Linked DNA regions of Astyanax mexicanus. The protein of the gene in region 1 purifies or fractionates together with the protein of each later gene. This does not show direct contact. Links are inferred from orthologs where the notes say so. Each region holds a gene or a part of one and is shown in the gene's direction. Other genes may lie near its edges. The genes, in order: pam16 and dnajc19.

Region 1 (16,236 bases):
TTTTTCTTTTTTCTTTTTTTTGCTTGACGATTTTATGTTTTTGTGCAAAAAACGTTTCACACAAAATTAACTCCATAAAAATCTCATTACCATTTTGTTTTAATGCATTTTTACTGTACATGAGTGACAAGACAAGGGCACTTCAGGGGCTATTGAGATTTAAGCTGTGCAATGCCCTGTGAGTCTGTTACACTTATTCTGCTGTGGGGCGAACCTGAAATCAGTTACATTTTCTGATAGTACTATAAGGCTTAAGGCAAAAACTAAAAACTGGGTGTAAAACTTCATTATTGTAGTTTGTTTAGTGTAGTAAATTTACAGTATGCTTAGATTTCCACTAAGGCTGGGTGCAGCGGAATTAGCATTAATGGCTAACCGCTAGCACTAGTAAATGCCGCCCGACAGCGCTACACTGAGGAACCCTGTGTTCCGGTAAAGTCAGGGCGCTAGCAGCTAGCGGTTCATCCCACGTAGCTTGTTTTAACATGGTAAACCAGAGACTGTAAAAAAAGATGGACGCTGTGTCGCCGTTCCCATTCTTTCAATGAAAATGAAGCCAAAATCTTCCGCCATGTTGCCGATTCTGATACCGGAGTCTGCGCAGTAGAGACCAGAGGAGGGAGAAATACTGTGGAGAGCTCCTACTCATTTAAATAATCCGGCCCCTGAGAGCTGCCTCGAGGTCACAGGCTGCGGAGCAGGGCTGACGGCCTGTTATTGGTCCCGCCCCTAACCAGCCCTTTTACAATAACCACACCTTTTTTGAATAGAGCTGAATAACGTTTTTAAAAACATTTACAATAATATTTACAATATAAGGTTACACTAGCTGTTGCATTTAAATAATGGAGGTAGCATTACAGTATATTGGAAAAAAACGTGATTGAAAGTTGTTCTGTTTTGCCATTGAAACCTATGAGGATGGGTGGGGTTACACAGCTTTCTGCAACCGAACAGCAGGGGGCGCCCGACCTGTGGTGGCTTCACTTTTGAGAGACGATGCTCTGTCCAGCTATACACAGTCAACTCTGAATGAAGAAAGAGCTAGCGTTTACCATGGTTAAGCAGCTAATGCTGCTCCAGTCTTGGTGCTGGAGAAACTTTACTAAAACTGCTGTATAACTCTGTACTTTAGTGGAGTGGCTTTACTGCTCCTTAATACCTGACTGGTAAAATTTATACATAAGGAGCACCGGATTATAAGGTGCACTGAAGATTTTTTAGAAAAAATTAAAAGGATTTTAAGTGCACTTTATAGTGTGACAAATACAGTATAGAAAACCAACATTTCTACTTTAGTAAAGTATTTGTACTCAGTAATACTGAGTTCTGATAGATTACGAATCTTACTAATTCATATGTGTGTGTTTTCAGGATGACTAGAGGAACTCCTCACCTTTTGGATGAGTAAAAGAGGAGTAAATGATGAGTAAAGGTGCCAGTAGATACAGGGGAGTGCTGCTGTTCTCTGTGCCATGCCTGAGTGCCAATCTGAACCCAACCTCCAGGACCTCCACCTCTTCACCACCTACCAGTGTTCCAGTCCCACCACCACCCGGCTCCTCCATCCGTCACATTAACATTAACCCTTCCTGCATCAGATTTACTCTCCTGTAATCAGACGGGTGTTTAATAGACGAGCACTCTGATCCTAAACCTCACACAACTCTTATTAATTTCAGATTTTATACTGTAAATCTGATCTGCTGTAGTATAGATTAATACACCTCTTTTCTATACTTAATCATTAGGGGTGGGAATCACAAGGCATCTCACGATACAGTATCACAATAATTATATCGTGATACTGTGATTCTGCAATACTCAAAATATATCAAGACAATTTTGTATGATACTTCACAACGCCTCAGTTACTGAAGAGGATTAAATACTCCTAAATAAATCAAAAATACCAGTAATTATGGATTTAATTAAAAACTTTTTAAGTATGCCTAATTAGGGGGGTGTTAGGGAGTTTAAAGCTCCTATGTTTCAATAAACATATATTAATATTTGATGACACACATCGATAATGTAACGTAAATGAAAACCATACAATATATCGAAATATCAATATATTATCCCACCCCTACTGAGTCGTGCACTGCCCCCTGCTGTCTGGTCTAATTCAGAAAGGATCCTAATATGCTGCAGGTCTTTATTCTAATCAATAAGTCAGTGATTAATCAATTCCATCTGATCATAGCAGATCAATCAATCACATTCTGATTGGCTGGAATTAAACCCTTCCCAGATTAGATCAGACACTCCTGGTTTTTGGTGCACAACAGCTATTTTTTCTTACTATCAGTGTAAATACAAATCAGTCTTCCTACTGTTTTTAACTGGAGCTCATTAAGATCGATGTTCACTACAGTTCAAAAGTTTGGAATCAATGTTTAGAGGCATTTAAATGTGTTTTAGTCATATAAAAACATAAATTATTCATAAATAAAACCATTCTAATTGGCTGTTTCAAAGAAAAAAAAAATTGTATAAGACTTTTTATTTAAGAAAATTGGAAAAAATTGAATAAAATCATTTTGATGTTCTAAAGTGACTAAATCTAAAATAAATACCTACAACATAAAATAAAGAATGAAGATATAATAAAATAAATGTTTGAAAATGCATTTTGAAAGTTAAACAGAGCTGTGGAATATCCAATATGTTAATTCAAAAATAAAGGTCTATAAACATCAAATAATAAGGCTATATTAAAATAATGAAAATCATTTTAAATAAATCCAGAAAATTAAACAGACCTGTAGAATATTCTACACTCACTAAATTAAAACTATATGTAGAACAATAAAATAAATACACTAAAACAGACCTGTGGAATATTAAACATATTCTTAATTTAAAAAAGGCAATAAAATGAAATAATACTACTAAAATAAATAATCAGTATGCATTATTTTAATAGTGGTGAACAAATTACAATTCAGATGACGTGACAACTGACATAAATGTTATAATATCTACAATGGCTTTTATAATTTGTAGAATATAAACTGAATATAAAAAAAGAATTCAAATTAATGTAAAATGACTCCACTTTTTTGAGCTGTAGTTAGTGTCTGGTGTTTGATGGGATGTAGAACTGGAATCTCTGTACTTCTAACAGATACAATATCTAGAACCTTCTGTAAAGGGTTCTATTAAATAAAAGGGTTCTCTCTCTCAGTAATCAGTTTTAACAGTATTGTATGTGATCAGTGCAGCTGCCAATCATCTTGCCAATGATGTTTATCACCTAATGCTGTTACTGTTATTACTAATAATAATACAGGAGGATACTGATCATTTAGTTAATAGCACTTCTTAGTGTTTTACACTTCATGTTATTAATAAATAGGGAATTATTACTGGAAGTCTTGTTCTGAATGTGATGAGCATCAGTGTTTTGTATCTTGTCTCTGATTGATCTTTGGGATGTCTCAGTTTTTTGATTGATGGTGATTTTTATACTGTGGAGATAAGTGATAACTGCATTACTGTACCCTCTCCTCTGTACTGTGGGAATGTTGCCTTGCAATAAAACAAAAATTACTAAACAAATTACGTCTGGAGTGTTTAATGTATTTGTTTAAATAATATATATATATATATATATATATATATATTAATCATATATCATTTTGTTTGTTAAAATGACTTTAACTGCTTGTTTAATTACAGTTTATTATAAAAGTCATTTCTATTTTTCTATTCTATATGGTTCACTCAGTGTCTTTTTCTATTTCTTTATTTAATGTATTTTCTACATTGTAGATTAATAATATTAAAGACGTGAAAACAGTTAAGGTACACATATAGAATTACGTAGCAAACAGTAAAAAATAAAATAAAATAAAAGTGTTATTCCTCCACATTAATCCCCTGATCTAAATCTGATGAACTGAGATGGTGATTTGAGGTGATTTAATTGTGATGAGCTGGAGCTTCACAGCGTGAAGGAAAAGCAGCAGCTATTGTTCAGCACCTCCAGGAACTCCTTCCTTCAAGACGCTGAGAAAACTATTCCAGGTGACTCTCCCTCATGAAGATACTGAGATTAAAATCTCACCAAGATTCTGCAGATCTGTCCTCAAAGATACATGTGATACTTATTTAAAATAATCTAAAGTATAAAACTATAATAATCTGGGTTTTTTTAACACTTTTTCTTTCCAGAATAATTCTGAATGTTTTTCTTGTATAGCTTTAATATAGTCTTCAATATTAAATTTACAATGTAAAACTAAATCATAAAAAGATACAAAACACATTGAATAAAATAAATTATACTGTATTTTTCTTCTGGCAATGTTTATGCATTAAAACATTATTAATCTGAAATTTGTAATATTTTTTACATAAATTAATTATATAACCAATTTTGGACCATATTTTTTGCTATAATTCACTTTTTATAGTCCTTATTATATTATATAATATTAGCTTTCTTTAGCTATATTTGATTTTTTTTTAAATGTTCAAAAAGTAGATCACTTTTTAATATTTTTATATTAATTAATTATTATATGGATTAAATCTTATAAATAACCCTCACTCTTTTCTTTCTTTCTCTCTCTCTCTTTCTCTCTCTCGAATATTTCCATCTTCATATTCTGGTTTGTTTTACACTTTTTGTTTATTAAATAATTCTGCATTTGTTCCTGTATAGATTTAATATAGTCTTTAAATAAATTTACAATGAACTCTGGGTTCAGTTCACTTACTTTGACTCGGGGGACTCTGAAGGCCACAGGCTCTGGCTCACATCTCTCACATCACACTCCACCTTCAGCAAGAGGCTCAGACCCTGATCACGACTTAATTATCTTGTTCCCACGCCTTAAAAAAGAATGGAAACATATATGATTAACAACCAGTGTTGGGCACGTTACTTTGAAAACGTAATTAGTTACTAGTTACTTCTTCAAAAAAGTTACTAACTGAGTTACTCCACTATAAAAGTAACTATTGCATTACTTTTGTGTTCCTCGTCCCCGTAAGCCCCTTGTAGTTAAATATAATTGAGTTTATTTTACCCCCGTTTATTTCAACGCCATTATTCCCATCACTGTTATCAACAAATATGAACACTGTAGTTTACTGTATTGTAGTGCCAGTATCTCACACTGTAGTGCAGTCTGTTTTAACTGTGGTATAGGGGTGTGTCATTATATTGTACAAATCAAACTTTTTTTTTTACCATTTAAACTCTTCAGGTCCAGTGAGCCTGAAATGGTAAAAAAATCCATTGAACTTAAATTGTATAAAAGCAGCTTCCATGTGACTCCAAAATGAATGGGTTCATATGGAACAATTGAGCAAAATCAGACTTTATAAATGTTTGATTATTTTTGGTTAGTGTCCCGTTTATCAGTTAAATTTTCAGACCATTTAAGGCTAAACTTAAAAATAGAAAATTAGATGTAAAACTTCATTATTCATTTTTTTTTCCATTTGGTGTTGCATGTTTTTTTCCCTGTTTTCATTGCTGCCCCAAACAAAATAAATACATTTAATTAAAACAAAGAAAAAAAGAACTCTTATTTTCAATTTTTTAAGTTGGTTGGATTAAATTATTAGATATTTTTTCGTAAAATTCTGATTGTGAGGGGAAGAAGAGAAGTTTAGAACATTAAAAAATTTAAAATTAATGTTTCATTCACTAAAAAATGAGGTTTTCCACTGAAAATTCTATTTTCAAGTTTGAACTATCAAAAAAATACTTAACTGAAACAGTACAGTTTCCATATTTATTTTGAAAATGTTAAAATTTACTAAACACACAAAATAATATCAAATGTGTCAGAACTGCAGGCAATGTTTTTAACTTTTAAAAAAAAAGTGCAGCTATAAGCCTTGTAATAAACCCAGCGCTCTGGCTTTAACTCCACTAATCAGCCAATCAGATCACAGTAGCATTACTGCTAGCGCATTTACTGCCTAAATCGTGTTTACTGTAGAGAAATTAAAACATACAGGTGAGGTTTCTTTAAGTTTTTAGTTAAATATTATAATCTATTTTCTAATATTAAAGTAATATCATGAATATGTAGTCAGACACTATTTTTAATGTGTATTTTTAGCCGTTTAGCCCCATTTACACCCATTCATTTTGGACTCACTCGCGGGCTCCCTCTAGCGGTTAGCAGTAATTTACTTATATAAAGGGGGAAATAAAAAGTGGATAGTCTCTATATAAACAGCTCTGGTTGAGCACTGGGTGTAAATCAACCCACAGAAACTGGAATAAATGCGCAGTGCTTTAATAAATTGTATGGTTCTGTAAATAAATGTATACAGAACTAGCTTAGTGGAATATATAAAATAAAGGTTACAGCACAGTCAGCAGTGTTGTGCCAGTTCACACTTAAAACAAACTAGTCAGTTTAGTTCCTATTATTTAAAATTGACTAGTTCACTTTAATTTGGTTCGTTTCCCTCTTAATATATAGATACGTAGGCTATTATTTTCCATCACCAGCCCAAATAACAGTAGTATAAAAAATTATACAAAATAAATATATTTCCATAAAACCACACTAATTTATATACTAAAAATTGCTCATTTACTCAATACAGATCAATATAAAATGTTTCTTTACTGCAGACATATTATTTAACCTTTCAAACTCCAGTTATAAAGCTTTTTAAAAAAAAACATGCTATGGGTGAAACTACGCTATTAGCTCACCAACCAATCAGATCACAGTAGCAGTAATGCTAGCGCCTTTACTACATAAAATCAGTTTACTATAGAAAAACTCTATCATATATAGGTACGTTATGATAGTTTTTAGCAACATACTTTATTCTACTTTCTAAAATGAAAGGAAAATCCTGCAGATTTAGTTAAACACTATTTTAAAGTGTGTTTTTAGCCGTTTAGCTCCATTGACTCCTATTCATTGAGGACTCACTCGGGAGCTCCCTCTAGCGGTTAGCCGTCAGCAATACGCTACCAAACATACACAAATTAACAGTTGTCACCCTCAGGTGGACAAACAAAGAACTAAGACCCACTTATATAAATGTTTAGCCTTCAAACATCATTTAAACATTTCTCAAACATTTCTCAAACATTAAACATCAAGAAAATGATAAATATTACTTACGTATGACCGCACGCACTCCAAATCAAATGAGCGGCTAAAAAGCTAGGTAATAACCCGAGCACTAGAGAATCTGTCTGGCTAGAGGTACAGGTGATTGCACCTACAGAGCTAATTAATTCTCTACCTTCTGATTGGGTGAGAGTTATTGAGCAAGATGATAGGTAGAATCGTTAAGGGGGCATGGTGTGAATTATACAATGAGAAATAATTGTGGGTGTTTATACAATGTTAAACGCATACAAAGCTTTTAGTTTATTCTTCACAACTTTTCCTTCCACCTTAAATCTCATTGATCTGTAGTAGATGTTCTATGAATTTTAAACATTTTTGCTTATGTTGTGCCGATATGATAAACGACCCACCTAACTTTTCTGGATTTGAATTGTTGTGTTCCACCTTAAAAGCCTAAAAACGCATCTAAACCCTGAAGTGTGTCGGCACACAGGTGCAACGGTAAATCAGCAGCATTTAAGGTGGAATCTTTAAATAGGAAGCAGAATTTATGGCGCAATGTTAAATTAGCAGCATTTAAGGCGGGATAGCAAACTGACAGCATTAAACAGGGAATGGTAAATTGCCAGCATTTAAGGTGGCATGGTAAATTAGTAGCATTTTAGGCGGAAAAGCAAACTGGCAGCATTTAAGGCGGAATGGCAGATTAGCAGCATTTGAGGTGGAATGGTAAATGAGCAGCATTTAAGGTGGAGTGGTAAATTAGGATTTGAGCAGCCTTTAAGACGGATGGGCAACTTGGCAACCTTTAAGGGGGCATGGTAAATTAGCAGCTTTTTAGTTGCAATGGTAAATTGGATGCATTTAAGGTGGAGTTGTAAATTAGCAGCATTTAGGGTGGAATGGAAAAAACAGCAGCATTTAGGTAAATGGCAACATTTAAGGTGGAATTGTAAAAAAAATCAGCATTTAAGGTGGATTAGCAGCATTTAAGGTGGAATGGTAAATTAGCAATTTAGTGGTGTAAAAAGCTGCAGTGTGCGGTACTGAACAGTAGGGGGGTGTAGTGCTGTAAAGCGCTGAGGGGTAAACTTGGCTCTTCTTCTGTGGTTGGTGTGTTTCTTCACCTTGATGGAAGCGCGTGTGATGATAATAATAATATAACTGAGAATCTGATCATATTTCTAATTTTCAGGAGAAGCGCGAGGCTCAGATATGGTGAGTATTAACGATATTACATCATAATTACACACTGCTTCAGTTTAATCAGGATATAAATACACAGAAACGGGTTAATCTGCTGTCCTGCAGTCATTTTCTGCTGAACTACAGGATTATATCAGACCTTTAATCATCATTACACTGATTATTTACTCATTTATCTGATCAATATTGCTGTTTTAGTGTAGAAATATACTTTAAGACACTATAGTATTAATTTTAACAGCCTGAATGTGTCATATATATTAGAAAACTCCTGGTTTAATGTAGGAAAATGTACTACAATAGGTGAAGTCTGATTTTCTAGATAAGCACACGTTTCTAGAAGTAAATAAAATATATAAATATATAGTTACAAATCTTATATAAAGAGTTATTTCAGCAAAAGGTTATGGATACACTGCCTGTTGTTTGAGAGACTGTTTTACCATAGTTTTAAGAAGGTTTTAGTTTTTAGTTCTGATGAACATGTTCTTAAAATCAAATATCATTAAAATGTTGAACTAGTAATTATAATGATAGTCCCCAAAGACACAGTATGTGTTCAGGCTCGTCCACACATATCTAGATATGTTTAAAATCAATATAAACACAGGTGTCACAGGTGATTACAGCAGCTCACCTTAACTGTTTGAACTGTTTGAGCTAAAGCTGAAATAGAGGAAAGTCCTGCACTTAATATTATTATTATTAGAGTTGAAGTGTAATTTTAACTCTTTCAGATTTAAATATAGTTCAGTGTTGGAGTTATTTGACATTTTTGAGGTACATATATCAGTGTTAACCCAAATAAACCCAATAAATACTGCTCAACCTCACAGAGATTTAATTTAATTCATTTTTTTATAATGGGTAAGTTTTTTTTACAACATTATATATCATGTTATATACAGCTCTGGAAAAAATAAGAGAGCACTTCAGTTTCTGAATCAGTTGAATTCTGAATCTCTGATTTTGCTATTTATAGGTATATGTTTGAGAGACATTGTTGTTTTATTCTATAAACTACAGACAACAAGAGCATTTATTTGCAGAAAATGAGAAATGGCTGTTCATATTCATATGTTTTAAGAGTTCAGAAATCAATATTTGGTGCAATAACCCTGTTTTTTTAACCACAGTTTTCATGCATCTTGGCATCATGTTCTTCTCCTCCACCAGTCTTACACACTGCTTTTGGATAACTTTATGCTGCTTTACTCCTGGTGCAAAAATTCAAGCAGTTCAGTTTGGTTTGATGGCTTGTGATCATCCATCTTGCTTTTGGTTTTTAATTTGGAAAATCAAAGAAACGTATCAGTTTTAAGTGGTCTGTTAATTGTTTTATCCAGAGCTGTATAAAGCAATGGCTTCTGAGTTTAAGTGTGATTTACTACAGCAATAATAAATGAGTAAATGTGTGTGTGATGGCTTACAGTTAAAACCTTTTGACTGTTGGAGTATTTAAATATTTGTTTGTATTTGATTTTGCAGCTAAAAGCAATATTTTACCTGTGTTTTTGTGACTGATTGTTTTGTATGCAGGCAAAGTACCTGGCCCAGATTATAGTGGTGGGTGCGCAGGTGGTGGGCCGGGCATTTGCGAGAGCTTTACGTCAGGAATTTGCAGGTGAGCTCCAAACTGCTTGGCAATAAAATTTAACCCCGACTATTTTTTCTGCGTCAAACAGCTGCAGTCTCTTACTGAAGGCAAAATACTTTATTTATTTTATTTGGGTGGCATTTCCCCTTTCTAATTAATGAAAAGATGTTGAAAATATCAAGAACATCAATGTATTACTTTGTTTGGACTATTTTATTTTATGTTGACTTTACCAAGTAAACTTTTGATCAAAATATGGTCAAATATGTATGTTCTGTTTTTAAGCATTTGAAAAAGGGCTGGTATATTTTATTATTACCATTATTATTATTATTATTATTATTATTAAGACTTCTGAATGCAATTGGTTGCCCTGGATATTAATTGAATACTTTTGCACGTCACATTTTTCAGATTTTTATTTCATAAAAAGGTAAACCGTGTATAATTTTTGTTTCATTTCACACATATGTGCCTCTTTGTGTTTGTCTACCACTTAAAATCTCAATAAAATACATTTAAGTTTGTGGTTGTAAGGTGACAAAATGTGAAAAAGTTCAAGAGGTATGAATACTTTTACAAACCACTGCATAAACAAGCAAGGTATACATGTTTTTATGTAAATAAGGTGTATGAATCTAGCCTATCAGGATTCTTTAACTACTAAATCATATATAAACATTATTAAACATGTGCACTGTGTCACAGCGAGTCAGGCTGCAGCAGAAGCCCGAGGGAAGGCGGGGGCGCAGTCGGCCGCAGCGTCCAGCTTCACCGGGATGACCGTCCAGGAAGCCCAGCAGATCCTGAACATCTCCACGCTGACCCCGGAGGAGATCCAGAAGGTAAAAACACTGTAAACACACTGATACACACATGTGCTCTTCATACACACATTTTTATTAGTGTACTAAAGTCAGATCATCTTTCATATTCTCTACAGAATTACGAGCACTTATTTAAAGTGAACGACAAAGAAGTGGGAGGCTCGTTCTATCTGCAGTCCAAGGTGAGCATCATCATCATCATTATTATCATTATGATTATGAGATACACAGATCAGCATAACATTATGACCATTTGAACATTTGGAACGTTTAACTACAGATTCAGAGCTTCTGTCTCTGACTTTACTTTATCTACAAGATGGAGCAGCTGTAGTAGGTAGGAGTGTGTAATAGAAAGGAGGACAGTGAGTGATTAAACACAGTGTTTAAAAACTCCAGCAGCACTGCTGTACCAGAGCAACACACACTTACACCTCATACACCACTATCAGCAATTGCATTCCTTTAGTAACCATAGTAGAAAAAGGTTGAATCTGATTACCCCTTTAAAAAGTTACTTTATGTAGTTACTTTATTGATTACTTGACTTTTAAAAAAGTAATTAAGTTTGATTACAAGTTACTTTATTAGATACATTCATTACATTCCCTCAGTTCTGCCAAAACTCACTTGCTCTGTAAGTTTTTCTGTGCTGTGCTGCAACTTTTTGAAGATAGATCACCAGCACAGAGTGAACAACCTTCATATTGTCATTTTTATGTATAGATAAAATACATTAAAAAAAAAAAAATCTAATTTTACTGTCTGTATGTGTAATTGTACTGTCGTTTAGTGGTTTTACACGTGAGTTTATCTCATGCTGAAAACATGACTTACAGTAATTGTTGCATAGGAAAGATGTTGCTCCTTGAGATAGAAGAAAGCAAAAATATATCTTTTTACCAAGATAAATAACAAAAATAGTAATGCACAGTGACTTGGATAAGTGATAAATGTGTTACTTTATTGGAAATAGTAACTCGTTAGATTACTCGTTACTGAAAATTTGGGCTTTCCTGTCCTTTATGATCAATCTCTGCTGATTTACAGCGACTCTGATCAGCGTAATACAGCGTGGAGAAAGGTTGCTGACATTGTTGGGTTCTCTGGTGGCTTCTGAAAATGTATATATTTATATAATTAATACAATTTAATTGGAAAAGTTTTTTTTTTTTAGCCTACATGGTGCACACTAGACAGTGTTATGAAGCTCAATTAAACATTTAAATGTATAAATATACATTTATACTTATTAGTTTATAGGAAATAAAGCTGTCACAAAGTGTCCTGGTCAAAAGGACAAAAAGGAGCTGGTCATAATGTTATGTTTGATCAGTATATTGTGGTTATATACCCTTATTTACCCACACTGACTTCAGAAGGTAATCCCTGTATAATCAGTAAAACCAGTGTTTATTAGAGTGTATTTTCTGTAGTATTTTGGTGTCCAATCACTGAGCGTGTCTGATCTGGGTTTTTCAGGTTGTGAGGGCAAAGGAGCGATTGGACGAAGAGCTTCAAATTCAGAAGAACGATCCACCACAGCAAAAACAGCAGGAACACACCTGAGTCTCACCTCTCGCCTCTTATTTTCTGTTTTTTCCCCCAAATGTAAATATTCTGCTGGTTTCAATAAAGTCTAATCTGTTTATTCATGGTGTAAAACAAATTTACCTTCACTGAGTGATTTATTACAATAATATTTTTTGCTTTATTACAGCCTCCGTTCTTTATAACATAAATTTAAGAGGAAAGCTCCTGTAGATTCTGTTGGGAATTATAAATATTCTAGGTTTTAATAAAATAAACATTGTTGTTTTATTCTATAAACTACAGACAACATTTCTCCCAAATTACAAATAAAAATACTGATTTAGAGCATTTATTTACAGAAAATGAGAAATGGCTGAAATAACAAAAATAGATGCAGAGCTTTCAGACCTCAAATAATGCAAAGAAAACAAGTTCATATTCATAAATTTTAAGAGTTTAGAAATCAATATTTGGTGGAATAACCCTGGTTTTAATCACAGTTTTCATGCATCTTGGCATCATGTTCTCCTCCACCAGTCTTACACACTGCTTTTGGATAACTTTATATCTTTACTCCTGGTGCAAAAATTCAAGCAGATCAGCTTGGTTTGATGGCTTGTGGATGAATCCTTTAAGGTGCTTAAGGGAATCTTTAAGACAAGATTTTTTGCTAACATTTTACAATAACAGTACATTAATTAACATTACTTACGACTTGAGAATATCTCAACTAATTTGCAAAAGTTAAAACATTATAAATCACTATGTACTTTTTTAAAAAAATGCCTCAGTTAATTGTTAGTTTACAGGGTTTTCAACATTCTTAAAGGCGACATTATTAAACCTTTTTTTGTGTAAGTTAGAATACTGTAGGTCTATGATTTAATTGAATTTCTTCTCACAAAATCACTCTCACATAAAGATAAAGATCTTACCAGCTTTATTCTTACCAGTTTTAGTGCCTTTCAGAATGAGCTGTTTAAGGGCTCTGTCACTTTTATGTAAATAAGCATGTATATGCTGAGAGTTTACCACAAGTTAAAAAAGCTAATTCATGCTTAACTGCACTGATAGAAGCACAAAACTCATTATTTAAAAGTACTCACATCTCCCTCATCTGCTGACTTGACACAGACAGTAGGAGTAGGTATAGATTCCTCCCTCAGACAAAGTCTGCTGGCCTTCACAATAAGGAGAGCATCAGCTGACTCACAGGAAATGCATGGATGGATTTTTTTTTTGCACTTGATTTGCATGTTTATAGAGGCAGTATCCTGAAGAAAATAAGACTCAGAGAAATTAAATGAATAATATATCAAATACAGCTTTATTAAACATTTGCTTCTTTCGTTTTCATTGACATCATTATCAATATCGTAATAAAATTCCTCTAAAACAGGAGCACACGCCTATGTTGTACCAGTTGGAGACTTTTACGACTCTAAAATTCTGCATGTTCGGCTTCAGAACATAACGCTCGGAAAAAATATATATATTTATTTTTCATATACTGTATTTGTATTTCTACATTTCACCTACAATAAAAAGGCACTTGGCAAAAAGGAAATACTGATAAAATATTTCAATGTGCAACAAGAAAAAAACTGATACCGGCCTTTCCTGGCCAAAGTCATACATTAACCCTTTGTGCACCGCTGCGGCACATTCAGCTTCCCGTTCCCGTTTGGTTTTGTTCGGATTTTTCTGAAGCGAGAATGAAGAGCGTCGTCACGTCAGAGCGCAGACTGTACCGTAGATTCGCTGCCTCTCAGTGACGCTGTGTTTTACTGCATTTTTATCATTTACTGCATAACCGTGACACTCCGTCACGCTGAGATCAGTTATTGCTAATCTATAATAATAACAATCATCTTCATCTTCGCTCTGTCCGAGCTCCTAATGTCCCTCAGTGCTCAAAGGGTTAACCGTGTGGACCCTGCCGGGTCGGTGTCATATTCAGCTTCCTCAGATTCACCGTCTGAGTGACCCGAAGAAATCGAGGGTGGAGCAGAGAAACAAGGTCTTAGGAGGTCTGAGGACATCCAGAAGGTTTAGGGAGGTCTGAGGAGGTTTAGAGAGATTGTGGGATGTCTGTCTTGTGAGGTTTAAGGTGGTCTGAGGAGGTTTGCGCTTTTTAAAGGAGATTTTAGTAGGTCTGAAGAGGTTTCTAGAAGTTTTGAGGAAGTTTTAAGGTGGTTTGAGGAGGTCTAATGAAGGTTGAGAATCCTAAATGGGTTCTGATGAGGATAGGGACGTCTAAATGGGGTCTACAAGGGTTTGCGGAGATCTGAGGAGGTTTGAGTTTATCTGAGGAGGTCTAAAGGGCTTTGGGTAGGTTTGGATGCGTTATACGTGATCTGAGGAGGTTTGGAGAGATTTGGGAGGTCTAAATGGGGTCTGAGAGGATTTGAGGAGGTTTGAGTTAGTTTGAGGAAGTCTTAGGAGGTTTGAGTTGGTTTGGAGAGATTTGGGAGGTCTAAATGGGATCTGAGAGGGTTTGAGGAGGTCTAAGTTAGTTTGAGGAGGTTTGGATGGGTTTAGGGAGATTTGGTAAGTCTAAATGGGGTCTGAGAGGGTGTGAGGAGGTCTGAGAGGGTTTGAGGAGGTTTGGTTGGTTTAGGTAGATTTTGGAGGTCTAAATGGGAATCTGAAAGGGTTTGAGGAGGTCTGAGTTGGTTTGGGGAGATTTAAGAGGTCTAAATGGGGTTTGAGAGGGTTTTAGCAGGACTAAGTTGGTTTGTGGAGGCCTGAGTTGGTTTGGGGAGATTTAGGAGGTTTAAATTGTGTCTAAGAAGGTTTAAGGAGGTATGAGTTGGTTTGGTGGAGATTTAGGAGGTTTAAATGGTGTCTAAGAAGGTTTAAGGAGGTCTGAGTTGGTTTGGTGGAGATTTAGGAGTTTAAATGGTGTCTAAGAAGGTTTAAGGAGGTCTGAGTTGGTTTGGTGGAGATTTAGGAGGTTTAAATGGTGTCTAAGAAGGTTTAAGGAGGTCTGAGTTGGTTTAGGGAGGTCTAAGGACATCTAACATGGTTTGAGGAAGTCTGTAGGCAGTCTAAGGGGCTTTGATAAATTTTGAGAAGTTTTGAGGAGTTTTAAAGGTTTGATGATGTATGAAGATGTTTAAAGGATTTAGAGGAGTTTAACTTGTTTTTAAGGATGATAACGGCCATTCTGCATTCTTCTGAACCCATATTTCCCTTTCCATAGTGTGTAGTGTTTGTGTATAAGGTGTAGTGTGTGTGTGTGTGTGTGTGGTAACAAGCTCTGTGTCGGGCAGTGTATTCAGCATATTCAACAGAAGGTTCAGTGACCCAGTTTCACAGTGCAGGCAGCACTCGGCTTACTTTCCTGATCTGCTTTAGAAAGTAAAACGCCAACTGGGAATCTAACATTATCAGGAAATCTTCCAGTAAACATATGTCTCACATCTAGGGCCGGGCAAATCATCAAAAATGAACTGAACCTCTGTTTGGACGTGATCTTGTCAATGTTAATTTAGGTTCATTTGGGTTTTTAGGTAAAATTTGTTCAATAAATCATGATATTGATTTGAGATTATATCACCCAGTTTCAGGAGATGGAAATCGCCCATCATTATAAGCGTTATTATGGACTTGTGCCAATTGTCTCAGGAAAAGAGAGAGCAAGAGTGAAAGAATGAGCTGCACTCATCAAGAACCTAGAGCGAGCTGACCGTGGGCCCACAGCCATCTTTTTAACAGAGTTTCCTGACCTGGAACTTCATGGTTTGACTGTCCGTGGGGAACTGGGTCAGTCCTGTGGAGGAGCTCCTTTATACTTTACATAATCACACTTTTCAGTGCTCCACCCCCTTTTCAGTGCTCCACCCCCTTTTCAGTGCTCCACCCTCATGGTGAGAAAGCTGAATGCAGAGCAGCAATATTCGAGAAATGAGATAAAGCAACGTCAACATCAGAAAATGTCTCGTCCAACCAATATAGCAAACATCAATAACTGTAGCTTCTTTCTCAAAGGTATTTGACATTT
Region 2 (15,443 bases), on another chromosome or scaffold:
TTTACATTTCAAGAACATACTTAAACTTAATTAGATACAGGTGTTTACATGGCTATTATTATTCTATTTAATGGATTATTTAAAGGATTAGCCACCTTGTTCAATCATATAGAAAGCGTAGGAATGGCCTGAACTGGACTAGTCTGTTTCAATTTATTCTATTAGTCAGTTTATTAACAGATTTTCATGCTGCATGTAAATGTACCTAGTGTGAGTTCCTCTCAGGCAGAATGTGCTGTTGGTCAGTAAAGTTACTGCTATGTTGGCTAACTGAGCACAGCTATAATAACACAGGTTAGGGTGTTTATCTCCTCTGTGAACTCCAGGCACTATATGAATTTGTTCAGCTCCACCAGCAGCTCATCAAATTGAATTTAATTAAGGACTGGTTAAATAAAGTGCTGGAGTGTAACTAGCAATGCTGGGTTGCCCCTTGGAGAATGCTAACAGTTTGAAGAACACAGGTTTGGGTGCTGATCTTCTCTGTGAACTTCTCTGACATTTTAATAACTCTACTGTCCTGACTTAAAGCAATTTACAGTAGCTACACTTAACTTGTTAAATGTAATAGCTGAGAAAAGCTTGAAATAGATAAAATCAGTTCTTTGGGCCATTGCTAAAACAATAGCAGTCCAGTTATAAATGTAATAAACGTAAATAATTCATTAATATAAAAATATATATACACTCAGAAACCTCAATTAAATGTTTGAAATTTGCTGTTTTGTAAAATATTGTACTGTTGATTTTATATATAAATAAATAAGCAAATTCCCTACAGGAAGCAAACATTTCCAGCACCTTTAAGACACACTTTTTATTTATTTACTAAATGTATTATATTAGGGAAAATAAAACCTAACAGATAACATATTCAATCTTCACAAATCATACTTTTGATTTTTCCCATATGTAAACTGAGATAAAAAAAAAAAACTGTAATTGTTTATTAAAATGCCAAACACATAATGCATAAACGCCCATCAATACAATCAGCCTATTAGTTATAATTCATCACCTGATCACCCTTAAAGCAAATTAGACATAACATAGACAGTGTCTAGGTAATTATTTTCAACTTTTGCTCAGTAAATTATTTTTACAAGAGCTAAATATAAGTCACTGTTTTCTGAGACGCACTCGACCCCACGGTGTATGTTGCACCATAAAAAACTAAAGCAAAGGGCATCAGCCATACGATGAGATAATTACAAGATGACACGGGTAAAAATATCCCACTCAGAGGAGCATGCAGAACCTTACCAGCAGTTAACACAACATCAACACAACAACACTCAAAATGTCCCACATGATTCAGAGAAATGAGGAGAAACCTGTGAAAATACTGATTAAAGCCAGCTTTAACCATGTGCCATTTATCAACACACACCTCAGCGCCAAAGCACAGGTAATTATTGGCTCCTGTGGTAAAAAAATGAGGTGGCAGACTTTGGCTAGAAATAAACTAGAGATAGAATGACCTTAAATATATTTATATATTTCTAATGTGGTTGGAATAAGCCCACTTCATCGGAGCGCTTGATAAAAGGATTACCGAGGTGCATTATGCCGCAGCAGAGAAATCTGGATGTGGAAGGGGCCAATTTGATTAAATAATTCTTGTTTCCTTTTTGCAAACCTTGCAGTCTTATTTCCTGAAACCCAAATTCAGCATAATGTCAGATTTAAGAGCAGCGCAGGGGGAGAGAGGGCCCCAACATTCAGCCAATGTCCGCTTGCCAATGGCTTTAGCTGTTTTAAGAGGGAACCACCAAAACCTGGAGGTGCATACAGCAGTACATGTATTACACATTTTACTGCACTTACATTTTCGCTAATTTCACCTTTTTAAACCTCTCTTGACTAATGAGACTTGCTGTTTTTTTGCAAAGTCATTAATCATATTTAAGTGATTCATGGTTTTATGTTCTATTTCTGTAAGAAATGTAATACTGCACTGCAGAAAAGGAAAAAACATGCACATTTAAAAGGCTATATTTGTATTATTATTAAATTATATATACTTATATACATGGAATCATTTGAACAGCCAAAATCTTTGCACACCACTATATTCACATATTTAAAAAAATGTATTTGTTCATTTTAAGGTACTGATCTAAAATTGCTCTATACTTACATGGTAAATGAACTGGTTGTGTAAAGATATAAGAATAGCTTAAAAGTCTCTGAAAGAAGTGTCCAACTCAGGTCACAGTGTATATTAGTCAAGTTTCAGTTCTGCCAAATATTAAATAATACATATTTTAGCAAACATATAAATGTGATGTGAGATCTCCACCCTGCTCAATTTAAAACATCTGCAAGATGCTACATGGCTTGCTAACAGTTTATTAATCAGGAACTTTGACAGAAACACAGCAAAGTAAATAAGTAATAAATAGGCAGTCAGTTACTAACTCACACTAGAGGTTTAGTTTATGTACATTCAAACCTTCAACATCTTAAACACAACAAGACATGTGGTGATTCATGACTTTGTCTTTCTCTAGAATAAGTTAGGAAGAACTAAGTCAGATTGTACAGCTTCACAAGTTGTTACTCAGTTAACCCAACATGTGCACTTTACTGTGACAACCACCAAATGCTCATGCATACATTAACATAGCTTTAAAGAAACAGAAGCTAAGCCTTACACAGAAATAAAACAGCTGCTAAAAACACATTAAGACATAATAACACTCAATAAACTTAATGTCTGGCCTGAATTTATAGTTCTTTTATAACTAGTAAACTAGTACTCCCTCACACTTCACACATCCTATTCACATCACTTGATCTTCATAAGCCAATGAAATGACTGTAAAGCAACCAAAAATGTGCTTTAGCATGATTATTTTATAAGAGTGTAGTGTAAAAGTATTTTACTCATTCAAACTTATAAAGGACTGATTTATAAAGTTATGATTTGCAAAACTGTTAAAATCTATAAAGTAAATGTATTTTCTCACAGTCCAAAAACATTGCTAAAACAAACTTGTGGACAGAATAATACAATACAACTTGTGGATAGAATAATACAATACAACTACACTGCGCTCTAAAAAAATGTATGTAGTATTTTTCATTCAGAGCATGTTGTGAGCATATTATAAGATTATTCTACCTTTTGTAAATATTTCTACTATAATATAACTATAATATAACTTGACTTTTTAGTTGAATTAAATGTGTTTAAAAGAAGCAAAAACATCTACAAGCAACCTGACTACACTCATCAAAGTCTTACAGACAAAGATGTAACTGTGACTAAACCTCACTGAGAAGCTTTAAGATAATTTCCCTCTCCAAAAGGTCATTTTACAGTGAGTCTGTGAACATGTACAACCTACACATGTCCCATTAACCCCACGTCATTAGAGAAAATGACGAATTCCATAACTTAACAACAATACTGTAACCAATCAGCTGTGATTAGTATGCTGTGACACCGCACAATGTCACATTCCACCTACAGCCACCAGCTCCGGCACTCAGCGTCAGACGCAAGAGAGCCAAAACTAGAGCAGGTCTCAGCAAACAACCGCCAAACACAGTGTGAGAGAAGTGTCAGCCAGTGTGAAAAGGCTCTGCACGAGGTAAACACATCTGTCTCTAAAGTGCCTCATCATAATGCTCAATTATTAAGTCTGAATCTAAAACAGACCACAACTTTCCCTTTTTGCCCTCTATTCATATGTAGATACCCCCTCCAGGCATAGCCTTTTATAAATAATAAAAAAAATAACAATAATATCAACAAACAATTATCCAGCCAGAAGAAAACAAAGCATCAAAAAAAGCTCCCGAAATACCTTTAGATGCCCAGAGGAAAGGCTGGGGTGGCCACAGAGATGGGGTGATATATTTCTTCCTCTCATTCTTAGGCTGCTTCCTCTCTCTGCGGCAGAAAGCAAATGCTTAGAGACTCTGTGGCATATTTAATTAGAAGCAAGCTGTTTGCACTATCAGTGCGAGGATCTACCTCGCCAATCTCTCGTGAGTCAATCTTCCCCATCTCTGATTTTCTTTTATATTTATGCCGGAATATTTAATTGTAGACAAAAGGTTACTCCGGCTGCATTCACCGCACACAGGCAGAATAATCTGCTTTAAAAGGCTTGACATTTCAGGCTTTTCAAAAAGGCTGAAAAAATTATATCCCTGCTTTTGTTAATCAATGAAGTAGAACTCTCCTGAACAAAAGAATTAAATTGCTTGGTTGGTTTAATAAAACCAACAGAAATAGCTGCTTCCTCTGGGCTTTTTGTGCTGAGGCTCACCACATGCACCCAGCACTGTAATTCCATATGATTTAGGGGCAAAAACTCTAATTTCTGCACACACAGTTGGCGTTTTTTTTAAATCCTTTTCAAACTCCAGCCTGCCTGCCTGCCTCTATAGAGGACACATTTATCATTAAACCTGACTTCCACTGACTGCAGCCAGTTTTACTACAGTTTATCATTTCTATCCTTCTAAAAAAATAGGGGAGGATAAACACATTGTAATTATGCAAACGAAGGGGCAGTAATTAGGACCTTCATCCAGTCAGTGAGTGGGTGAGATTCAGTCCAATGGGAAGAACCCTGTGTTCTCTAAACTGGCTCTGAATCAAAGTAAGGTTGTTTGTATAGGTTTATGCATTGGAAAATAAATACTACTAACTTATATACTTAGTTAGAAATTAACTAGTAGTATATTATCTCTCTGTAGACACCCTTCAATAAAGCAGGTAAGAATTACAACGGGGAATTCCAACAGTATTCTAAAATTTTACAAAGCATAATTCAATGGCTGGGGTGTAAACAAAGTAATTCAGAGTAGTTTGGATCTACACAAAATATACAATAATTCAGGTTCGGGTAGTGTGTGAATTGGTGGTCTAACCTACCATGAACTGTGTTAGTAGCCATTTCAGTCACCTCCCTGGGCTTCTCCTGTGTTAAGAGAGCACAGAGCACTTGAATGAAGCCAACAAGTGCTGTAAGCATGCAGTAAGTACAATAACATGCTTTCTCAAAAGAACCACCATTCCTTTTCTCGCATGCCAAAATATACATATGAACAAACGTAATATAACCATTAAATTATTAAGCACAAATTAAATTATGGTTTATTACTGCTTTTTTAGAACTGCATTTTTTGAAAACATTTACATTTTATCATTAACATACAGTAATAGAAGAGCTAAACATGTTCATTGTACTAACCTATATATACATATAAACTATATATATACAGCTTTGAAACAAATAGAAGACCTCTTAATGATGATGTTTTTTCTTTGTTTTACCCTATTGAAAACCTCTGGAATATAATCAAGAGGAAGATGGATGATCACAAGCTATCAAACCAAGCTGAGCTGCTTGCACCAGGAGTGACAAAGTTATACAAAAGCAGTGTTTAAAACTGGTGGAGGAGAACATGTCAAGATGCATGAAAACTGTGATTTAAAATCAGGGTTCCTCCACCAAATATTGATTCCTGAACTCTTAAAACTTAATTAATATGAACTTGTTTTCTTTGCATTATTTGAGGTCTAAAAGCTCTGCATCTTTTTTGTTATTTCAGCCATTTCTCATTTTCTGCAAATAAATGCTCTAAATTACCATTTTTGTTGGAATTTGGAGGAAATGTATTCCGCAGTTTATAGAATAAAACAACAATGTTTATTTTACTCAAACATATATCTATAAATAGCAAAATCAAAGAAACTGATTTAAAAACTAAAGTGGTCTCTTTTTTATATATATATATATATATATATATATATATATATATATATAGAGAGAGAGAGAGAGAGAGAGAGAGAGAGAGAGAGAGATATAGTTTTATATCTATATAATATTTATGTATATATAATATAATATAATATAATATAATATAATATATATTTTTTTTTCTTTCTAAAAAACATTTAGAATAATAACTTTTTTCTGTGAGAGAACTTTTAGAGGCATTCAACTCCTTAGGCATCCCATTCATGTTTCTCAGAAACACAGAATTTCACACCAAACCCACTCTGAATGTCTTTGTTTACTTCTTTAACATAGAATTATACAGAAAATATTTTTGAAAAGCTGCAGAATGTCCCTGTAATTATCTATCTAACTACGCTAGTCCATATACACAGCACCAGCACCACTTAAATAGCTTGTTAATAATATCTTGGAAACATAAAACGCACATAGCACACACACAATTCCTCATTATTCCCCTTCAAAGTTATAAAATAACGTACTGTTTTCTAGAGTTGCCTAAACCCGCCCTTTAGTTAAAGTTCAGTTAAATATATAAGTCACTGCCCAAACATAATATAAATATTTACTATACAATGTTTAAATAACTTTGTGTTTGTGTCAGTTTGTGGCAGGGAATGTATAACAAACTCTTTTTAACCTTTAATATACAGACTGTAGAGTTTTTTTATAAGTGTTTACTTATAACATTTCTCTGATATATTTTAAAAACAAGAGGAAATGTGTGGTTTCTGTGGCCTTTGCTAGTAAAATAATTAACGTTAACATAATTAACTAAAATTGGCAGAGGTAATACTTACATATTTTCCATTCCTCGTCTTCAATACATTGTGTGTAGCTTGGTTTGGTAGCTTTATATGTCGGCTCTTAATTTTAGCCAAGAAAAATCGCGTTTTAAAGTGTAAATCTGGATTTTAACGACTAATATTGTTTTACAAACACTCAGCTTAAACGGAGCGTCTGACGTCACGGATTAGCCTCCCCTTTCACGACAGCGCGGTGCATTTTGCGGCAGGCACAAAACACCAGTGCAAAAAGTCTGAAATCGCGCCATTATTATCGGATTATGGAATCTATCTGATAATTAAAGCTAATATTAATGCTCCACGCCGCGGGGAGGAGACCAACTAAGTTGGGAAAATGGTAGGCAGCCTTCTTTGTGCATTATTGTTATTGCACACGTGAGCTGTTAGCTTTAGCTTAGCCCGTGGAAGGAGATCTTTCCATTTCCACCTTAAATGGACCAGCAGCTGCACTCTGGCGCTCTGGCACCTGACTGTATCTGCTGCACTTTTTAAGGTGGAAAGAAAATTTCCAAAAAACGGCGCTAACCTTGTTTTTGTAGCTCCTTTTGTCATTTTAAGGTCATTATATAGTATAAAACTATTATACAGCGCCAATGAATCGTTTAATTCTGTTAAATTTTATGAAATAACGAGTCAATTTCTCAGTATATAACTATTCTCCTTTATAAACCTAATATACATGTTTTTATAAACGTTTATTGTCATTTTATAAAAAGGTTGTCATTAAGTTTAAAGTGTTTTGTGCTGCACGTTAAAACGTTAAAGCTGCTGTACAAGTTTACCAGGTTTTCCATTATAATCTCCAAGGTCAAATCCTACCAAAAGTCTAAAATCAACAGAAATAATAGGATTTATCTCCCATTCGCTGCTGCAGTTGTGACCATTACTCTTCCGTAAAGGCATTTTTCAGACTGGATGTTGGACCATCTATGAACTGTGAGGAGGATTTAATTTGCCTTCAGCTACACTGAAGAGAAAGCATGTTTCAGGACAGGTTCTAGTAAAGGATTACTTCTGCCACCATAACTCAGTTATACAGCTCTGGGAAAAAAAAATTAAGAGACCAGTTTAGTTTCTGAATCAGTTTCTCTGATTTTGCTATTTATAGGTAGATGTTTGAGTAAAATCAACATTGTTTTATTCCATAAACTACAGACATTTTTTTCCAAACTCCAAATAAAAATATTGTCATTTAGAGAATTCATTTGCAGAAAATGATAACATAAATAAAATAAGAAAAAAAAGACGCAGAGCTTTTATACTTTAAATAATACAAAGAAAACAAGTTCATATTGTACATTGTACAGTTCAGAAATCAATATTTTGTGGAATAACCCTGGTTTTAAGTCACAGTTTTCATGCATTTTGGTATGTTCACCTGCACCAGTCTTACACACTGCTTTTGGATAACTTTATGCCTGCACTCCTGGTGCAAAAATTCAAGCAGTTCAGTTTGGTTTGATGGTTTGTGATCATCCATCTTCCTATTGATTATATTCCAGAGGTTTTTAATTTGGTCATTTTAAAGTGGTCTCATATTTTCCCAAAACTGTATGTCCAAAGGTGTCCAGACACCTTTTGTAGTGAGTAATAGATTGAAATGTCTGAATGACAGAGCGTAAGTAGCTTTATGATGAGGTGCAGTGTCAGAACAGATCTTCTAACATCAGTATCCCTGATGCTCTTGTGGGGCTTAATGCAGTCAAATTCTACTTACAGCAGTTTGTCAAACTGATCTATAATCTGTATCAGTGTCGCACAACAATAATACTACCCTTTATACTTACGCTTAGTTTTATCAGATACCATTTAGTGAATTAGGCAAATTAACTTACGTGAATAACTTTATCTAGGTGCTTTAGATTTAAAAATGTGTGATTTTTATAAGGAGAAAACGGAATAACACCATTATTAGCAGAGATCTCACTACTCTGTCTGTGTTAGATCTCTCACATTATTAATGCAAATTCAGATTTGGGCTGATACTGTAATGCTGTGGTACACTTGGAAAACACCATGATGTTGAATTGTATTATCATCATTATCAGAGGTACATTCTGATCATAGTTTTTAAATGCGGTCAGATTCAGGGTGGAGGATTAGTTCTGTCACTCCACCTTAATTATATGTCCCTTGTATTGAGTAAATTGGGCTGATCAACAGTAACAATGTGTTCTCTGAAGTTATAGAGCTCAGTCAAATAGCTTTGGGATGAGGTGGAGTGTCGAAGCAGATCCTCCAACAGGCTTAATGCAATCAAATTTATCTCACAGCAATATGTCATATTAACAGATAATACCACTATATGTGTCACCAATAATACAGATTTTAAGTTTTAGCCGATACTCTATTAATGTAATTTTTTTGGTGGTTTTTTTGGTGTTTTTTGTATATAAAAAAGCTTTATTTTGGTTATACAATTGTGTTAATTTGTCTGGTTAACATATACTTTATATATACTTTAATCATATGTTTGGTGTGATTTTATAAGAAAAAAGAGAACAAAAATAAAAATAATAAAACATTTTGTAATAATTGAAACATGCGCTGATACTGTTATGCAGTGAAACGTTTGAAAAATATATATATTTTTTCCCTGTCATTATCTAAGGAAGATTCTATATCAGAGGAGTTTCTGCAAGTTAAACGTGGTGATATGTTGTATTTAGCCATCAATTACTTACTAATTAATATTAAAATGTCATAGTTTGAATTATAATTGATTCTTATGATTTAGAAACATACACAGTTATTCAAAGTGGGCTTTGGTTCTGTTCTAGACATACTTTTTGAATACACTATAATACTCCTATAAAAAAAAACAATAAATTGTTTTAGAATTCCACCATTATACCATTAAAACATTACATATAAAACTATCCATATAAAGTAATTATATTTGTGTTGCGTGTAACTCAAATGGTGAATTATCCATATGTTTCTGAAAATCCTATGGGTGAAGGCTCTACTAAACCTTTTTATACCTGGCAACGAACTGGATACAAAGTTCTCTGTATGTGATTAAAACACTGCTACGGTCCAGATTCAGGTAGATGGGTTTTAAATGAGATGAGCTGAATTTTCTCATTGCTGTGATGAGAACTGTCATATGTGTTTGGGGAAATTATGCAAATTGCTCCTTCATTAATGAGACGGTGTAATCAAGCCGTATTGTTTGTCTCTCTTCTTTTGCAGGCCAGCACCATGGTGGCCGTGGGCATTGCTTTGGCAGCAGCAGGATTTGCAGGTTTGGGAGAATTTAAGAGTATTAAAGCTAAACCTGCTGAAACCTTCACCTCATTACAAAATAAGGACTCAGGATATTTTTGTCACCATTAATGCAAAGTGCATCTGCATTTCTTGCGACTCTTTTCCACAGGCCGCTACGCAGTGCGAGCCATGAAGCAGATGGAGCCCCAAGTTAAACAAGCTCTTCAGGCTTTTCCCAAAACTGTAAGTCACTCTGTTCCTGGATCAGGTGTTGAAGAGAGCTAAGAAACGGATTTTACAGATGTTATCCGATTCTGAAATGGAAATGTAAAACCCAAATTCAAAAAGTGATTTTTTTTGGAAGCCCTAAAGAATATTGGATTTGGACATTTTTTAATGTTTTCTTGAGATCAATTATTACAGCATATTAGAATGCTGTTTTCTTAATATTGTACATTTCACTAAAATGGTATTGTTCTTGGGAATCTGTTCCTAAGAGCTTAAGAAAAATGTTAATAAAAAACATGATGTGCATTATAAAATACTAAATCTCAAGAAAACAATGTTCATTATGTCATGGTAATGGAAATTCACGATCTCAAGTAAATGTTTTGACAGTGAATTTTGTTTAATTGTCATGTTGATAAATTATTTATATTTTTATAATTTATAAATTTTAAACTATTTAAATAATAAAAAATAATAATAAGATCATAAATCATTCCTGATTTTTATAAAAACAATAGAGATAAACTAAAATAATTATAGTGACATTCAGTTTCGTTAAGAAGAGGATTCATATAAAACAAGTCTAGACTCAGTGAGTCTTTAAATCAGTGAGTGATGATTGAACTTCTGTTTCAGGCGTTTGGAAGCGGCTACTACAGAGGAGGGTTTGAACCAAAGATGACGAAGAGAGAAGCATCTCTAATTCTCGGAGTCAGGTATGAATCAGATGATGTGATTTCTGTGTAGTTTGCGCCAAAATTGTCAATACTGAATTTGTTTATTTTTGTCTACCCCAGCCCCACTGCCAACAAAAACAAGATTAGAGAAGCTCACAGAAAGCTAATGATTTTAAATCATCCAGACCGAGGTAAGAATTTCTAAATGTTCAGTAAGACCAGACACATATGATAATGTCAGCAAATTTGTAGGTCATCTATTAGCTAAGCTGTAGCTGTTATTTTAGGCACAATTTCTGTTAATATGACTTTAGAACTGCTATGTAAATGAACTCCATTCTGATTGGTTGCCCTATTGGTGTCTTATTTCAAAGCAGTCTTGACTTAAACACTCCTTATAACTTTAGATTGAATGACTGGGGCTTAAACTGTTGTCATAAGCAGCAAAGTCGTGCCTCACAAGTCTTGGAGGAGGGGTGCATTAGCCTTCACCCTCCAAGTATGGTGGGATCATGTGATGGGGTGTCCAAACTAGTTGGTGGGAACTCTTTGTCAGCTGAATTGAGGGAAAATTGAGGAAAATTTCAACCTCCTTGAAAACATATCCATTCGATATGTGCCCTTGATGTTACAAAACATTTTTTCCATTGTTTTGTAATGGAATTGTGAATTTAACAAAACTTTAAATTAACTGCAATTATCACTGTGGCTTGTTTTGTGCAGACCGTACACAGTCAACTGAGGAATCTTTCTTTCTGTTTTTTGGCAGGTGGATCTCCATATCTTGCAGCAAAAATAAATGAAGCTAAAGATCTACTTGATGGACAAGCCAAGAAATAGTTTCACACATTCACTGATCGAGCCCTGTCTGATACACTTGAGTTCTCTGACCATTAAAATCATTTATTGTACCACACGTTTCATTTCATTTTAAAACTCTCACAGATCACAAATGACTAAGAAGAAATGACTGGAAGATCAAACTTTTATTCAAGAACTAACTGCATACAAAACATATTGCACATCAAACAACCAGAATGATCATTAAAAAAGAAATAAAAGAAAGAAATAAGGACTCAAACGTAGTTTACAGAACAGAAAATCTGGAAGTCGTTCTTTCAGTAGTCCAAATTGTCACCTGCGTGCAAATACGTTCAGGCAGCCAGTTTAGTGTTAAAAGAATAACTGCTTTTGTTTTTGTTTTTCTTCTTTTAAATACTGTACATTTAAAAATAAATAAACCAAAACAAGGCTCTGTTTGCTAAACAGTCACTGTCATCATTGTTACAGCCTGACAGGTGATGAATCAGAACAAATTTGATCTTTCCGATAGTCACATGGAGTGTTTTTCCATACACCATTTAAAATGAACAAACAGACCAGTTAGAACATTATTCTTAAGGGAAAGGAATTACAGTTCAGTGCAATAACATCCTCTTTTCCAGACTGGGTTTACTAAATTTCCTTCCCCTCCTTGATGTATGAAGTGGTTGCATATTAAAACAAAATGCAGCTAACTCTCTTCTCTTCAAAATTCAGATATCTGGGATCTTCCCATTTTATTACCTTATTTTCCCTACAGCCGGCCACTTTACGGGTGAATCTACTCTCTGAAGGCACAACATCTGATCATGTTTTAAACTTACTTAGATGTGAATCAAGTTTCAGGTTTCGTCTCTTCAGGGCTCGTCTTTTTTGTCTTTGTGTTTTTTTTTTTTTTTTTTTTTATCTTTCCTCCCCTCCTACCTGTTCCATGGTGAAGGAACGGAAAAGTGCAGTAGAAAATCTGGAAGTCCGTATGTCTATCTTTGGCAAGCTTGTACAAGCACTATTGTAAAAATGTAAAGGTTATGACTTTTTCTGAAAAAAGTAAAACAAGAAAAAGAATAGAGCAAACTGCTTAGGAGAGTCCATTAACAGCAGGCTTTTCCCCCTCACCGGAGGTATTGGGGGTGTTTTTCTCTGTGGAAGCTCGTGCTGCTTTTTTCTGCTCGTCTCCATTGGCGCTGGGGCCGTTGCTCACCGCATTAGAGACACTGTGCTCTGCTATGCTCTCCACCTGCCCCTGTGGATGAGGAAAAAAGGAGAGTTCTCATGTGAGGCTGGAGGAAATCCTTTCACTGTGAAAGCAAGTGAGGTGAGTGAAAAAACTAATATTTGGCTATGGTGACTTACCATATCTTTCTTATTCTTCTTCAGATCTCTCGGTGTTCTCTGCCTGCTTTCCGATTCAGCTCGTGATATGTAATCAGCCACAGTAACTACAAAAAATAAATGAATAATGATCAACGTCTACAGAACACTAAGAACAAACAATTACGGAAAGCATGCTGTAATGAAAAGGTCAGAAATTAGCTCAACCTATTCAGTTGACATTAATGGTGCACAAGGCAGGTACTCTTCACACCTGTCTAATATTTCAACCCATAACATAGCAAGTATTGTTAGTAGATTAATCCACAAATAGGACACACCATAAGAATGTCATTAAGAACACAAAAGACAGTTTAAACAGTTACATTTTAATCCATGTAATGTTGTGGATGCCACTCAAGCTCTCAATAAAGAGTGACAACTTCTCTCTTATAAGCTGTTAAACTGTTTAACTGGAATTAGTGCATTGTATAAAAATTAGTTCATTTTACATGGCTATGTTCTTTAACCTCTCTTTATAGCTTTTTTTTGATTGTGTGTTTAAACATGTTAATTATATGTTCTCTTCTGATTAGCTGCCCTGAATTGCGTTCATGAAAATAAAATGAGCAAAGAAGTCCAAGCTGAAATAATCCTTTAGCATGAGTGGTGGGGTGACTTCGCTGAGCTGAATTTATGACATTACATCAACAAATTGACTCAAATTATTGTATTGTGGTATACATCTTATATTAAAGTGTTTGCTTAATTTCCTCTCAGCCAAACTGACAGACTTGCGGATTCCCGATTTGGATGCGTTGGGGCTGTGGTTAGATTCAGTTTGTTTTAAGCCATGCATATCAATACACTCGAACCCTTGTCCACCCGTTACCTGGCTGCCTCTCCTCTGGAGGGCGGAAGCGGCGGCGGCGACTACGATTACGCCGCTGCGGTTTAGCCTCAGAGTCATCTATAACAGGGAAAGGCCCCCCCGTTCAGTTACTCCACACAGCAGTAACATAGAGACCCTAACAGATTCACTTCATAACCTCCATTCAGCTTTTACAAAGAGTGCATTTGGGAAGGAGCCAAAGACCACTGCAGTTTACAGAGCCTTGGAGCGCTGCACTAAATAGCCTAATAAAACTCAGCTTAAGCATTCTAGTGTAAAATCCACATGTAAAACTTGTAGAATATTTACAGCATACCGTTATGAATACTATTTAAGTATCCTAAAAACATCCACATATCCCAAATGCAACTGCAATGGCATGTTTTTGCTGCCCATACTAAATGAGACATAGTTAAACTACTGGGAATAAATAAATAAAAAAAAATATACCTGAAAATCAACCTAAACAAAAACAATATTTGTTAGTGTAGTTGGTTATGTCGCAGGTTGTGTGTGAAAAGGTTAAAAGCAATCTTCAAATGAATTGATGTACAGAAAGTGTATTGTGAGTGTGGGAAAGAATCTCCAGGGAGGAGAGTGTTTACCTAGGCCATTCTCGCTGACCGAAGCATTGTCAGACTCGCTCATGCCATCAATAAGCGTGGCATCCTCATCCGTGCGGCGACGGCGCGAGCGGCGACGGCGGTTCGTGTTCACCTGTGACTCACTCGCATCCGTGTCTGCTGTCTGGTCCGTCTCCGTGTTGTCTAGAAGACTGTAGGGGTTCCGGTCAGGGTCTCTCAGAACTGTACAATCAGCACAAAACTATTTAGTAACTTTGAAAAAAACTGCTGGAAAAGTCTGACACTGTAATTGCAAATATTTCGTTTTTCTAAATGCCAAATATTTAGTTCTGTTTTTCTATTGTATCAAATGCCTTTTTCATGCAATAAAATACAAATGAACTTTTAAAAAAAAAAAAGTGTGATTTTTTGGGGGATTTTGGTTTTAGCTTCTGTCTCTCATGGTTCAAGTGAACCTACTATAAAAATTACAGACATTTCCATTCTTGGTAAACTTCTAAAATGGACACTGTATCATATGCTTATTTTCCCCACTGAACATTTAAGTTTTAGGGCCACAGTAAAAAATAAAGAAATAAATAAAATACATTAGAAAAACAATACACTTTTAAACAAAAATGTTATAAAATTTCAAAATGTTAGTGATATTGCTAACAGAAAATGTCGAAAGAAAATAACAACCAAATAGCTAACAAAAGGAACACAACCGAGCACGAGTATCAGAATGTCATCAGTACAAGAATGCTTAAAATGTCTCACTGTCTCTAGTACACGAAGAAGTTTTGAGTATTGATGCTGTTCCCTATAATCATTAATATTTTTCATTTAAATGTACGCGCACACCTGGGATTTTTTTTTTTTTGTGTGTGTTTCTGGAGACCGTTTTGATGTTAGCTCTTTGGTTATGAATATTCTGGTTACTTGGTTACCTGATTATACTCCAAAGTCAAACTAATCATTTTCATCAATTCTATAGGTCAAGTTTACAATTAAATTAAGTCTACCTGAGCTCATGGTGCCTCCTCTCCCTGCTCCACGACCTCTCAGTCCTGGTCCTCCACGACCCCGCCCCACTAGAGGTCGCCTCCGGCTGTCTCTCTGCGGCCGGACTCCTCGATCCGGCTCTTCCCCTGCCAGGGACCAGTCACTCA

The links.
Region 2: the proteins of pam16 (region 1) and dnajc19 purify together in Homo sapiens (affinity purification with mass spectrometry; 3 studies listed by BioGRID and IntAct, with this or other methods). This does not show direct contact. The link is inferred for Astyanax mexicanus from reciprocal best matches to the Homo sapiens genes PAM16 and DNAJC19.

The regions. Positions count from the first base shown.
Region 1 is NC_064426.1:40,093,848-40,110,083, reverse strand, and holds pam16 (mitochondrial import inner membrane translocase subunit tim16), read left to right. Parts: upstream 1-8,139; 5' UTR 8,140-8,282; coding exon 8,283-8,285; intron 8,286-9,812; coding exon 9,813-9,897; intron 9,898-10,578; coding exon 10,579-10,715; intron 10,716-10,813; coding exon 10,814-10,879; intron 10,880-12,179; coding exon 12,180-12,266; 3' UTR 12,267-12,366; downstream 12,367-16,236. Other genes in the region: coro7 (coronin-7), read left to right, coding at 1,375-1,383. UniProt on the Homo sapiens protein: Regulates ATP-dependent protein translocation into the mitochondrial matrix. Inhibits DNAJC19 stimulation of HSPA9/Mortalin ATPase activity.
Region 2 is NC_064423.1:26,562,369-26,577,811, forward strand, and holds dnajc19 (mitochondrial import inner membrane translocase subunit TIM14), read left to right. Parts: upstream 1-6,758; 5' UTR 6,759-6,902; coding exon 6,903-6,905; intron 6,906-9,763; coding exon 9,764-9,815; intron 9,816-9,947; coding exon 9,948-10,021; intron 10,022-10,642; coding exon 10,643-10,722; intron 10,723-10,803; coding exon 10,804-10,874; intron 10,875-11,452; coding exon 11,453-11,523; 3' UTR 11,524-11,594; downstream 11,595-15,443. Other genes in the region: fxr1 (fragile X mental retardation syndrome-related protein 1), read right to left, coding at 12,584-12,748, 12,859-12,944, 13,709-13,786, 14,314-14,514, 15,297-15,443. UniProt on the Homo sapiens protein: Mitochondrial co-chaperone which forms a complex with prohibitins to regulate cardiolipin remodeling.